2 linked regions of the Arabidopsis thaliana genome follow. The protein of the gene in region 1 purifies or fractionates together with the protein of each later gene. This does not show direct contact. Each region holds a gene or a part of one and is shown on either strand. Other genes may lie near its edges.

The links.
Region 2: the proteins of PYK10 (region 1) and PBP1 purify together in Arabidopsis thaliana (affinity purification with western blotting, with the first as the bait; one study listed by BioGRID). This does not show direct contact.

What each region holds. Positions count from the first base shown.
Region 1 is NC_003074.8:2,839,223-2,846,280, reverse strand, and holds PYK10 (Glycosyl hydrolase superfamily protein), read left to right. Parts: upstream 1-2,499; 5' UTR 2,500-2,550; coding exon 2,551-2,712; intron 2,713-3,126; coding exon 3,127-3,196; intron 3,197-3,289; coding exon 3,290-3,345; intron 3,346-3,467; coding exon 3,468-3,543; intron 3,544-3,678; coding exon 3,679-3,756; intron 3,757-3,851; coding exon 3,852-3,939; intron 3,940-4,037; coding exon 4,038-4,293; intron 4,294-4,384; coding exon 4,385-4,500; intron 4,501-4,589; coding exon 4,590-4,807; intron 4,808-4,917; coding exon 4,918-4,952; intron 4,953-5,034; coding exon 5,035-5,137; intron 5,138-5,226; coding exon 5,227-5,335; intron 5,336-5,416; coding exon 5,417-5,624; 3' UTR 5,625-5,695; coding exon of another isoform or gene 5,696-5,720; 3' UTR 5,721-5,804; downstream 5,805-7,058. Other genes in the region: AT3G09250 (Nuclear transport factor 2 (NTF2) family protein), read right to left, coding at 5,696-5,720, 5,863-5,925, 6,027-6,540, 6,655-6,793. UniProt on the Arabidopsis thaliana protein: Beta-D-glucosidase active on scopolin > esculin >> 4-MU-glucoside >> DIMBOA-glucoside. No activity with pNP-glucoside, oNP-glucoside and sinigrin as substrates. May possess beta-D-fucosidase activity.
Region 2 is NC_003074.8:5,577,039-5,582,548, forward strand, and holds PBP1 (PYK10-binding protein 1), read left to right. Parts: upstream 1-2,251; 5' UTR 2,252-2,415; intron 2,416-2,436; exon of another isoform or gene 2,437-2,491; 5' UTR 2,492-2,521; coding exon 2,522-2,722; intron 2,723-2,819; coding exon 2,820-3,263; intron 3,264-3,384; coding exon 3,385-3,636; 3' UTR 3,637-3,994; downstream 3,995-5,510. Other genes in the region: JAL31 (jacalin-related lectin 31), read left to right, coding at 4,792-4,992, 5,094-5,510. UniProt on the Arabidopsis thaliana protein: Inhibitor-type lectin that may regulate the correct polymerization of BGLU23/PYK10 upon tissue damage. Activates BGLU21, BGLU22 and BGLU23.

The DNA.
Region 1 (7,058 bases):
GTTATAGAATTAAAATGGATAAAAATATGTTATTTTAATTGAACATATATACATCGAAACTTTTTGTTGGTTTTGTTAGCGTTTAGCGATGTTGAGCTACGAGTTCTATTGATGGTTGTTTACAACAATAATTGGATTGGAGAACAAGAAGTTATACATGATTCGTGAAGTTAATTAGATAAGTTTTTAATACGAAGAAATGAGTCCCGAGACAAAAATGAAGCTTATGGAATTAATTGGTAAATTAGCATGGCGACATACATTTGTGTTATGAAATCATCTAGTTGTAGGCACGGTGATGGATCCCTCAGATGGTCATGCTATCATTTTCGCTTTCAAATAGCGCGACCTAATTTTTTATATAATAAAATTACTAACGTGGATCGCATGGTATATTTTAATATAATAAAAATGTTTTAAGAAAATAAGGAAATGGAAGAGCCCACCGTCCACCAATAAATTACCGAGTAAACGATTTATACGACCGTCGAAATGAACTGAGAAGATAACGAGAAAAAAAGAATCGGAATTATATATTTTGACTCAAAAACGAGAAAATAATTCGTAGCGATTCTAACTCCTACTTTATACCTTAAGGAACACGAAACTTATGAGATTTTATGGAAGTTACAACGTGGTTAGTTTTTTTTTTCTTTCTATTGGACCAGTGTTAAATTTTCAATTTGGCATGGTGTAAAACTACACAAACAGCCTTTCTTTCTCTGACCCGTAAACTACTATTTATCTATTTCAAATCTAACAGATTTCATTATGGCGATAGATATAGTCCTTAAAAATTATATTGGATTCATTAGCAAAACATAACTATACATTGAAATTGTATTGATAAAATTTATATTATTACATGCAACCAAGCAAGAGCGGATGTACACGTTTTGGTGTGGGTGCGAGTTCCACATCAGAATTTGTTTGTCTATATAAGTAATTGTGAGAGACAATCGGAATAATTGGCTAGAATCAGTCTTTTTTTCCTAGTGGATCTTTAAAAACCATTCTTTTATACCAAGCATGTACATGCTGTGGTGTGGGTGTAAGTAAATCCTGCCCCAATGAAAATTGTTTTTGGACTCGCCACTGCAACGAAGTGTACCAACAACTTGACTAGGATTCTAAGTTCTTTTATGTATAGGATGTCTATATTAAACTACCATGACTAACATATATATAGTAGTTCCATATGCTCGATAAACTATGATAGATCAACAATTTTAAACATATAGTTTAACACTATTTATTTGTTCAACGTCAATAGTTTATAGTTACGCATGCGCTCGGCTTAGATTTGGTCCCCAACAGTCGAAATTGTCAAATAATATAAAATAAAAGTTTCATTGTTAGGATTCATTTATTCTTCGGGTGGTTATTGTAATAAAAGGCAAAAGAAAAAGAAGAACAAAATTCACAAGTAAAAAAAAAGATAACATCATTCTTTTAGTCGACAAAAAAAAAAAAAAATCAAAAAGATTTATTCAGTACTACAGTTTAATATTGTTTTGACTTTTTTCTTTTTCTTTATATTATCTGAAAATTCTAGACTGCAGCTGAAACATGTGATATGGATTAAAGGCGTATCCAGTATCCACATAAAGAGGAGTGGTGTCGCTCACCCAGTCACCCTTGTTACTTGTTAGATAGCATTAATACATTTGTAAGCAACAGCTTATCTGATAGACATGTCTTAATTGGGAAATATGCTCTAAGATGATACAACCATGGTTCCAACTGTTGACCACCATAGCTGATAACATGTTGATTACATTTTTTCTTTTCAGTTATAACGATTACTTTTTTGGGGAAATTATTGATATAATATGATTCATTGGATGATCCGATATCATGCATATAAAGTTGTATCTCGTGAAACACGAGATAGTATTATACTCCATTCTTTCATTATCGGAGTATGTTTAAAATTTGAAAACAAATACAGACACGGACCGTGGTCTTTACCTTCAGAAAAAAAAAGAGAAAAAAAAAACAATCCACTGTTTATTATAGGAGTTGTAGAAAATCGGGCAACGATATTCGATATGAGTTATTATTAGGGCCTTATTATTATATGGTATTACTGGATATTACTAAATAAAATAATCATATAAATTTCACATTTTAATATACACTCGTTGGACACGCGGAATATTATATGTTCTAAATGTTAAAAAAATCAAAAGAAATACAACGATCGACGGATCTAGAGTCTAGACCATGCAAATAAATCATCCTATTTAAATATAATAACTGTGCATATAGTTTAGTCAAATAAAAAGGTAAAGAAACAATATACAACCTATAACGTCAATATCCATGTACGTAGTAATAATTAGGATATGACAGAAAACACGATATCTTGATATATACAAAATGAAAACTTAAAAATTGATTAATATGGCCTGGCTGGGTATATTATTATAAAAACATAAAGAGAGATCAATAATTGATTCGAAGATCACTATATAAAGAACGTCTTCGATATGTAAAAGAACCATCCTAAACATTTTTTCTTGAATAAAATCAGAATTACAAACAAAAATGGTTTTGCAAAAGCTTCCTCTCATTGGGCTGCTTTTGCTCCTGACCATCGTCGCCTCTCCAGCAAATGCAGATGGACCTGTTTGCCCGCCGTCGAACAAACTAAGCCGGGCAAGTTTCCCTGAAGGTTTTTTATTTGGCACGGCTACTGCGGCATACCAGGTACAATATAAGTTCCTCTGTGAGCACCTCTTGACATATATATACACAAAAATCTATGAACTATTTCACACAAATAATATGTTACCGTGCAAGATTGTTCAAGACAGTATATATAGTTGAATCCATATATATCTTAAAACTATATATATTGGAGAGTATAGAATTCTATATTTGTAAGACGATGTTTTGTACATTAAAATATATAGAACATCAAAACTATAGTTCAAAACAAAACAATGTTAGCAAAGTAAGAGTATTGTACTGATACTTTTTTCTTTTCTTTGCTAAATTATCGAATGAAATTTGTATCATGATAGTTACTTAACAGCAATTTAACAATATCGTGTAGAAAAATTTAGCCTATAATTCTAAACCATTTCCCTAAACACGTAAGCTATTTTGCTATGGCATTAGGTCGAAGGTGCGATTAATGAAACTTGTCGTGGACCAGCCTTATGGGACATCTACTGTAGAAGATATCCAGGTGAGTGTTTCTACATTATCTTTTACATACTGTATATAGTTAGAATGTTTTGGTTCACCTAATCTTATATTTTTTCTTAATTTTATATTTCAGAGAGGTGCAATAACGATAACGGCGATGTGGCCGTTGATTTCTTCCATCGTTATAAGGTATATATTAATAAAGATTGAAGAAATTATTTATCATATTATATGCATATCTTAATAGTTTATTGATTATTCATTTAGACTAGATGTTGATAAAAAAATTCTCATCTGAAAAATGTTTGCAGGAAGATATCCAACTAATGAAGAATCTAAACACAGACGCCTTTAGAATGTCTATCGCATGGCCAAGAATATTTCCTCGTGAGTAAATATATATAAGGATTGATCGATATACAAATAAATCTAGTTATTTATTAATCACTACTTAGTGTCAATCGAATTTGGTGTATTTACGATGATTGCTATATTAATGAAACAAAACAATAATTTTATCAGATGGGAGAAAGGAGAAAGGAGTGAGTCAAGCTGGTGTGCAATTCTACCACGACCTCATCGACGAGCTCATAAAAAATGGTTACATATATTAATCACTTAAAAACGAAAAAAAAAACATTTATAATCTCTTACGTATTAAACTTCTCTAATTTTTTATTTTTTTCTGTAATTAGGTATAACTCCATTCGTTACTGTTTTTCACTGGGACACTCCACAAGATTTAGAAGATGAATATGGCGGCTTTTTAAGCGAAAGGATTGTGTAAGTTTTTCTGTTGGAAAACGAACCCCAATCACTTTTTGTTTTCTTTGATATGCGAATATAAATGGTATATTCAACAATTTTTTGCAATATTGTAGGAAGGATTTCCGAGAGTATGCAGATTTTGTTTTCCAAGAATACGGTGGAAAAGTGAAACATTGGATCACTTTCAATGAGCCATGGGTTTTCTCGCACGCTGGCTATGACGTAGGCAAAAAGGCACCTGGTCGTTGCTCTTCTTACGTCAATGCTAAATGCCAAGACGGACGATCAGGATACGAGGCTTACCTTGTCACTCACAATCTCCTTATCTCTCACGCAGAAGCAGTTGAAGCTTACCGGAAATGCGAAAAGGTACATCACATATATAAATCATAATTAGTTATCTATCATCTTTCGGATCTGAAAATAGTTTGTTTTGTATTATGTTAAATTATGACCATAGTGTAAAGGTGGGAAGATCGGAATTGCACATAGTCCTGCTTGGTTCGAAGCACATGACCTTGCTGATTCACAAGACGGTGCGTCCATCGACCGTGCACTTGACTTTATTTTGGGATGGTAAGTATAAGTTATAACATCCCTAATTAATTAGTACTATACTAAATATCTTGAAATTTTATATGACGATATTTTGATGGTTTTTGTAGGCATCTAGACACAACTACATTTGGAGATTATCCACAGATCATGAAAGACATTGTTGGACATAGATTGCCTAAATTTACAACTGAGCAGAAAGCAAAACTGAAAGCTTCTACCGATTTCGTTGGGCTCAACTACTATACTTCAGTGTTTTCAAACCATTTGGAGAAACCTGATCCTTCAAAACCAAGATGGATGCAAGATTCTCTTATTACATGGGAGTGTAAGTTTGTTTTGCCCTTACTTGAAACCGAACCAAGAAAACCAATGGCAACAAATCAAAGGGAAAATGTTTGTTTTTGGTACTAATCGAAACCTATCTCTTCTTTTCAGCTAAGAATGCGCAAAATTACGCCATTGGTAGCAAGGTATAAATTTAATAGCAATCTGAAATTTTTATGTGCTACATTTGTCTATGATGCAACATTCTCACCTCTGTTTTATTTTCAGCCTTTGACCGCTGCATTGAACGTTTACTCGAGAGGTTTTAGAAGTCTGTTGAAGTACATTAAGGACAAATACGCAAATCCGGAAATTATGATCATGGAAAACGGTAACTAGAGATTCTATTGTTACTGTCAACTATTATTTGGTTGATTTTATCTTAGAACTAAATATATTGATGTTGATGTTCTTCTTTAGGATATGGAGAAGAACTAGGGGCCTCAGATTCTGTTGCTGTTGGTACCGCTGATCATAACAGGAAATATTATCTTCAGAGGCATCTTTTGAGTATGCAAGAAGCTGTTTGGTATGTCCTATTTCCTTTTCATCTGATATACTAACAATTGTAGTGAAGAATCTAATAAAAACATTTGTGTAATATCTGCAGCATCGACAAAGTGAATGTTACAGGATACTTTGTATGGTCATTGTTGGATAACTTCGAGTGGCAAGATGGTTACAAAAACAGATTTGGACTCTACTACGTTGATTTCAAAAATAACCTCACACGTTACGAGAAAGAATCCGGCAAGTATTACAAGGATTTCCTCAGTCAAGGTGTTCGTCCATCCGCGCTCAAGAAGGATGAGCTTTAAGCTATTTCTGTTTCAATGTGTTTTTCCTATGTTTTACTTTGTGAGTGACCAAGATTCATGAGGTCTTGGTTCTAATAAAAAGAGTTTATTTTTCTTCTCATTTTTCATTGTCTACATGATTTGCCAGATCTACAAGGCTCTGGTTATAATAAAATGATCCTTTGTGCCTCTTCTAGTACAAACGTCACAACTTATGCCTCTTCTCGTTTGTGTGGCGTTTTCATTCCCAATCGCCAACCTCAGAAATAAAAAACAGTCCTTCATCACCCTTAAGCAAACCACCAATGTATCCCACCGCAACCTCCAAACGCATATAAAAATAAAACGTTTTGAAAATGTGTATCGTTTCTTCGATTCTTTGATCAAATATCAACAGGAGAAGCATGGTGAATGCATATAAACCATTGTCCATCGATCCGTTCAAACACATTCGACACAAACTGAGCTCCCCAACTACTACTCCCTTTCGTCTTCACAAACTCCATACACGTTACATAACCTACTTCTCCTCGGACATGAACCTCGACATCTTTCAGCTCAATCAGTAACGGAAACTCATAGTTCATCCACACAAGCTCCCAGCTTTCCATCACGTAATCATAACCAGTTATGCCTTTGGCCCCTGGATGTACACAGCACGGGTTTCCTGATTTTGACCATAGTGATTGCATCGCAGCTAAATCCCCGTTTCTGAAAGATTGGTAGAACCGAGAATTGGCTGATAAAACAGAGGCTTTGTTGTCTTCTTGAAGCTCTTTTAGTTTATCACGGATTTTAGCTGCCTCCACATAATTCTCTTCCTGGACCGCAGTCTCGAGATCTTGCTTCAACGTGTTCTCATCCATTGAAATGCTTTCAACATCCGCAGTTTGGTTATTTTCTTCGCGTTTGACTCGACAAGGCCTTAAACGGGAGCCTGCTTCAAATGTTACCAGAACACTAATCAGAACCAAGTCTAAAGAAACCGGTCTTATCCAAAACCAGATCTTCTACTAGATAAGATGCTCGAACTAAAATCAAGTAGACTCACACGGTTCTTTGTTTTGCAGCTTGAGATGAGCTGACCCAAATGTATTGCTAGCTGAAACCATGTTGCAGTGAATCGGATAAGATTTAGGCAAGTGAAGCAGCCTCATGGAACCACCAAACGGAGAAGTGATCTCTACCATGTTTGAAACCTATCAGGGAGCAAACGATTCAAGGCCATATTAGCACAACAATAGAATCACATAACCATTTGCATCAAGTGGAGTAGCAACAAATTCGGATATTGAACATCTCAGTGTTGAAATTCAAACACTTTCTGATCGAATTTCTTCTAGGGTTTAATCTTAGTACAATACCTACTAATCCGTAAGAATTCTCACACCAGACAAGATTAGAACTCTGTATATGAACCATAAATCATCCAATATCAATGGGCTCTTATTGAAA
Region 2 (5,510 bases), 2.7 Mb from region 1:
TCTTAAAGCTTTGTGAGCTTTCTCTTCTATTCCTAGAATAAAATTAAAAAGCCATGTCTGTTTGTTACTCCTCAGCTTCTAGTTACTCTCTTTTAACTATGTCTTGCTTCGTTTGTTTGTTATGTGTTATGAAGTGGTCTGCTTCTTTGAATAAAGCATCGTTTTGTTGGAATGTGATAAACTGATAATTGTGTTATGCTATACTTGGATGCATGAGGATAAATGAAAACTAACTATTCAACTAAACCCTAAAACCTATACGATCAAAATTATAGTAAATAGTAACACTTAATGAGACTTTAAAGTTGAGATGTGTAACTAGTCACCACTCACTCATGTTAGTGATTCATGTGTGTGTCAGTGTGTGTGTGTGTGTTTTTATCAAGGTCTTCTCTTAAGATTCATAAGTGTGAATCTGGTGGGACTTAATTGGTCTGGTGGAGTAGAACCTATGCGGGCAATGAGGAAGGTTAAGGTAGGCTAACCGAGCCCACTCTCTAAGTGTTTAATTTGTAACCTTAATTCGTAAATAAAAGCTGTTTAATTTGTAACCTTTATTAGATAAAATTTTGTCTTTTTTTTTGTCAAAAGATAAAATGTTGTCAATCATTTTAAAAACAAAGAAAAAAACTTTTTTGGCAAGAATTTATATATTTGCTTGTCATAAATTTTCCATTTTGTAGTATTTTGAAAAAAATATTTTAACGAATGGAAGCAATAACTCGACAAAAAGAGTCAAACTAAAGTACCTTCACATGCAAAACAAAACGTAAATTTGGTATTTTTTTCCCATTAAAAAAAATATATATATATTCTTGGCCTTGTGTGCGAAGACGATCGAGAACGAGAAGAACGATAAGCTCAATACGCACGAACGTAGATCGAAGACTGGAAAGGTATATCTTCATCAAAATATTCATGATTATGGTTGAGTTTAATTTTGTTTACGTATTTGTTTTAATTTTTCAAAAGTCCACTGTTGGCTGGCTGTTGCTATCTTGGAATGATTTTCATATCTCAATAACTATTGTTTACTCTAAGTTAAATTATTGGGGTGCTATTTATGATGACTGATGAAGTGATGGGAACATGATTGCAATATTAAAATCTCTTTTTTATTTATATTAATTATAAGTTTGTACCCACTTCATTTTAAATAGATAATGCCAAGACGTAGGTATATTATTACTGAATTTATTTTTTAATAATAAGTAAATATGCAGGTTTCAACTAGAAAGGTAACACATCAACAAGAAATACCAAAAACCACTAGCTTACATATTTTGATCATATAAGTATTGAATAATATAGTTATAGATGATCAAATAGTTATTATTAATTACTTAGCTAGTGTAATTTCTATCGATTGTTTCACATTCGCAACAGATAATTATATAAATAAATACATACTACATGTTAACCTTTGTTTTTGTTAAATAGGATGTTTTCTTGATTGATGATCTAGATCAACTTTTAATAATTTATACGTACCAGCTTTCATTCGATCGTGCGACTTCTTGGAATATCCCATGGTACATTTGCAGTCGAGCTAGAAAGCTTTTTTGATAATTTATGAATCATATTAAGCGTCTCTCAATTAGATTAATATTTAGTACCAGTGTAAATGATACAATTATAAATCTTTTTACCAACGAATACAGAATTTGTTTTAGAAATATTCTTCGCAAAATTTTATAATATTTCATAAATCAGTTATAAAAAAAAAAAAAGCAGTTTTGAATTCAGAGGAATTCGTAAATTTCCCTAAGAGTTATTAAAACTAGTTGTGATATTTTGGAGTATTCTTTATGGCTAGATCCATATGATCCGGTTCTTGTATCTAGATTTTTTTTACGGAATATTGTATGATATATCTAGTCTCCTCTTTGGTTCTAAACTTCTAATTAATCTTCGGTGATTTGAATTAAACGTTACTGTTTTTAAATTATGATTAAGGCTTTAAAACATGTTCATACAATAATTACCAAATCTTAACCAATTAGACTCTTAATAAGGAGAACGTATATATATGTTGCAACTTGCAACTTTAGCCCTTTACAAATAATTAATCGTACATAATCTAATTGATAAACGATTCTTTAAATTTTAAAACAATGAATTAGCTTGCTGCCATCGTTTAATGGGCCAACGCCAATATAAAGACGATTAGTTGAGAAGTTGTGCAAGTAGAAGTATATGAATATTTTCATTATCTAAAAAAAAAAATGTATATGAACATGCGTTTTTCCCAGTAATGCTTTTTATATAAATATGCCTCGTGGATCACGAAAGAATAAATTATTATTTCCCTTATTATTTCATCTAGTACGATCAATATCAAGAAGTCAATATAAATAAACATACAATTCACTTTAATTGATCATAGCACCGATAACAATCTACTCTCTTTAAAAGGTCTTATCTCTATTCTTCTCTATTATGTAAAAATTGGTTAATAGTAGATATTAACAATTTATTTTTGCAACTACAGAAATTCGTAAGTACTATCAAGAAGCAGAAGATGGCCCAAAAGGTGGAAGCACAAGGAGGGAAAGGAGCCAACCTATGGGACGATGGATCGACACATGACGCCGTGACCAAGATTCAGCTCGCAGCAGGCATAGACGGAATTCAATATGTTCAGTTTGATTATGTCAAGAACGGACAACCCGAACAAGCTCCTCTTCGTGGTACCAAAGGCCGTGTTCTCCCAGCTGATCCGGTTCCTATATTTTCCTTGCCCATTAATCTTCTTCTTTCTATATGTATACTGTTATATTTTGAAGTTTTGACATTTTCATCTTGATCTATTTCTACAGTTTGTGATTAACCATCCAGACGAACATCTAGTTTCTGTAGAAGGTTGGTATAGCCCTGAAGGTATCATTCAAGGAATTAAGTTCATCTCCAACAAGAAGACTTCTGATGTCATTGGATCCGATGAGGGTACTCACTTCACTCTACAAGTTAAAGACAAGAAGATCATTGGCTTTCATGGGTCTGCCGGGGGCAATCTTAATTCTCTTGGGGCTTACTTTGCTCCGTTGACTACTACAACTCCGTTGACTCCTGCCAAGCAGCTAACGGCATTTGGTAGTGATGACGGAACTGTATGGGATGATGGTGCTTACGTTGGGGTTAAGAAGGTGTACGTTGGACAAGCCCAAGATGGAATCTCAGCTGTTAAGTTTGTGTACGACAAAAGCCCTGAGGAGGTCACAGGAGAAGAACATGGAAAGAGTACTCTACTCGGATTCGAAGAGGTATAATACTTTCTTTGCTCTTTTTGTTGAATGTAAAAATTATACATCAGAGAATTCAAATTCTCTTCCGGTTTCCATCATAATGTATTCAATTGTTTTATTTGGTTTCCAATAACTGCAGTTCGTACTTGACTATCCAAGTGAATACATCACCGCAGTCGATGGCACTTATGATAAAATCTTTGGGAGTGATGGCTCAGTCATAACTATGCTCAGGTTCAAGACTAATAAGCAAACGTCTCCTCCCTTTGGACTTGAAGCTGGCACAGTCTTCGAACTCAAAGAGGAAGGCCACAAGATCGTTGGTTTCCATGGAAGAGCCGATGTTCTGCTCCACAAAATTGGAGTCCATGTTCGTCCTTTATCCAACTGATGATGGAGCTCTTTATCCTTGATTCCATGCATCTAATAAGTTATCAAATCTATCTTCTAAATTTCTCATATGAGGTCTCTTCATGCCTCTGGTGAATGGTGATCTTTGATAAGTGTTTTACGCGTTGTCTCTTGCGATGTTGTTTTTTCTTTGTTCTTCTTGTGCTCTATTTTAATAAAGGAAGTTTGTTCCAATCTGATCTTTAGTTTCCCTATATGTTCTATAATACTTACTTTTGCCATTATTTGGTTCTGATACTAATTTTACTTGCTATAATTCAAACTAAAATCTCAACGTATGAATTGTACAATTTAAAATGCAAATGTTAACTTTTTTGGATCAAATATATAGTTGTTCGTATTTTCTCAGTAAAAAAATCCTGCACAAAGTTTTTATCTAGAATGTGTGACCATATTGAAGTTTTTGGCCTTCTCCAAACATAAAAAGTTATTAGTTAAAAGTATATGAGTTGGCCAAAAAATACGAACCGGTTCTTGTTTCTAGATTGAGCGTTACAGAAAATTGTATTATATATATACTCTTGGTTCTAATTTCTCTTAGGTGATTTCAATTATACTTTTACTGTTTGAAATAATGTACAATGCTGTGGAAACATGTTCTTACAAGACTTATCAAATCGTCAACCAATTAGAGTCCTAAAAAGGGGGTCACTAATTGTAGAATTCTGACTTATATAAATTGCAACTTGCACCCTTTACAAGTAATAACGTATATAATAAAATTGACGACTCTGTGAATTTTAAAAGAACTAATTAGCTTGCTGCCATCGTTTCATTGGCCAACACCAATATAAAGACGATTAGTTGAGAAGCTGTGGAAGTAAAAAAGGAGTATATGAATATTTGAACATGTATTTCTTCCGGTAATGTTTTAAATATGCCTCGTGGATCACGAAATAATAGATTATTATTTCTGCTAGTACGATCAATGATCCTATATGCGGATATATGGTTATATGCAAGAAGTCAATATAAACACCTATGATTCACTTAAATCGATCACAATCTACTCACTTTTGAAGGTCATCTCTCTTTTCCTCTCTATTAGTACAAAATTGGTTAATAATTGAAAATTCACAATTTGTTTTTTTTTCCAATTATAGTAACTATAGTAAGATTGATCAGCAAGCAAAATATGGCTCAAAAGGTTGAAGCAAAAGGAGGGAAAGGAGGCAACCAATGGGACGATGGATCCGATCATGACGCCGTGACCAAGATTCAGGTTGCAGTAGGCGGAATGGGAATTCAATACATTCAGTTCGATTACGTCAAGAACGGACAAACCGAACAAACTCCTCTTCGTGGTATCAAAGGCAGTACCATTCCAACTGATCCGGTTCCTATACATTTTCCTTGCTTATTTGACTTCTTCTAATTTTTATAGAAAATCTATTGTTTTACGTTGAAGTATTGACATATTGAACTTGATCTCTACAGTTTGTGATTAACCATCCTGAGGAGCATCTAGTTTCTATTGAAATTTGGTATAAACCTGATGGTCTTATTCAAGGGCTTAGGTTCATATCCAACAAAAAGACTTCTCGTTTCATTGGATACGATCGTGGTACTAGATCATTTCTCCAAGTTCAAGACAAGAAGATCATTGGCTTTCATGGGTCTGCCGGAGACAATCTTAATTCTCTTGGAGCTTACTTTGCTCCGTTGACTATCCCATTGACTCCTGCCAAGCCGCTACCGGCACTTGGTAGTGATGATGGAACAGCATGGGATGATGGTGCTTACGTTGGGGTTAAGAAGGTGTACGTAGGACAAGCCCAAGATGGTATATCGGCTGTTAAGTTTGTATACGACAAAAGCCCTGAGGAGGTCACAGGAGAAGAACATGGAAAGAGT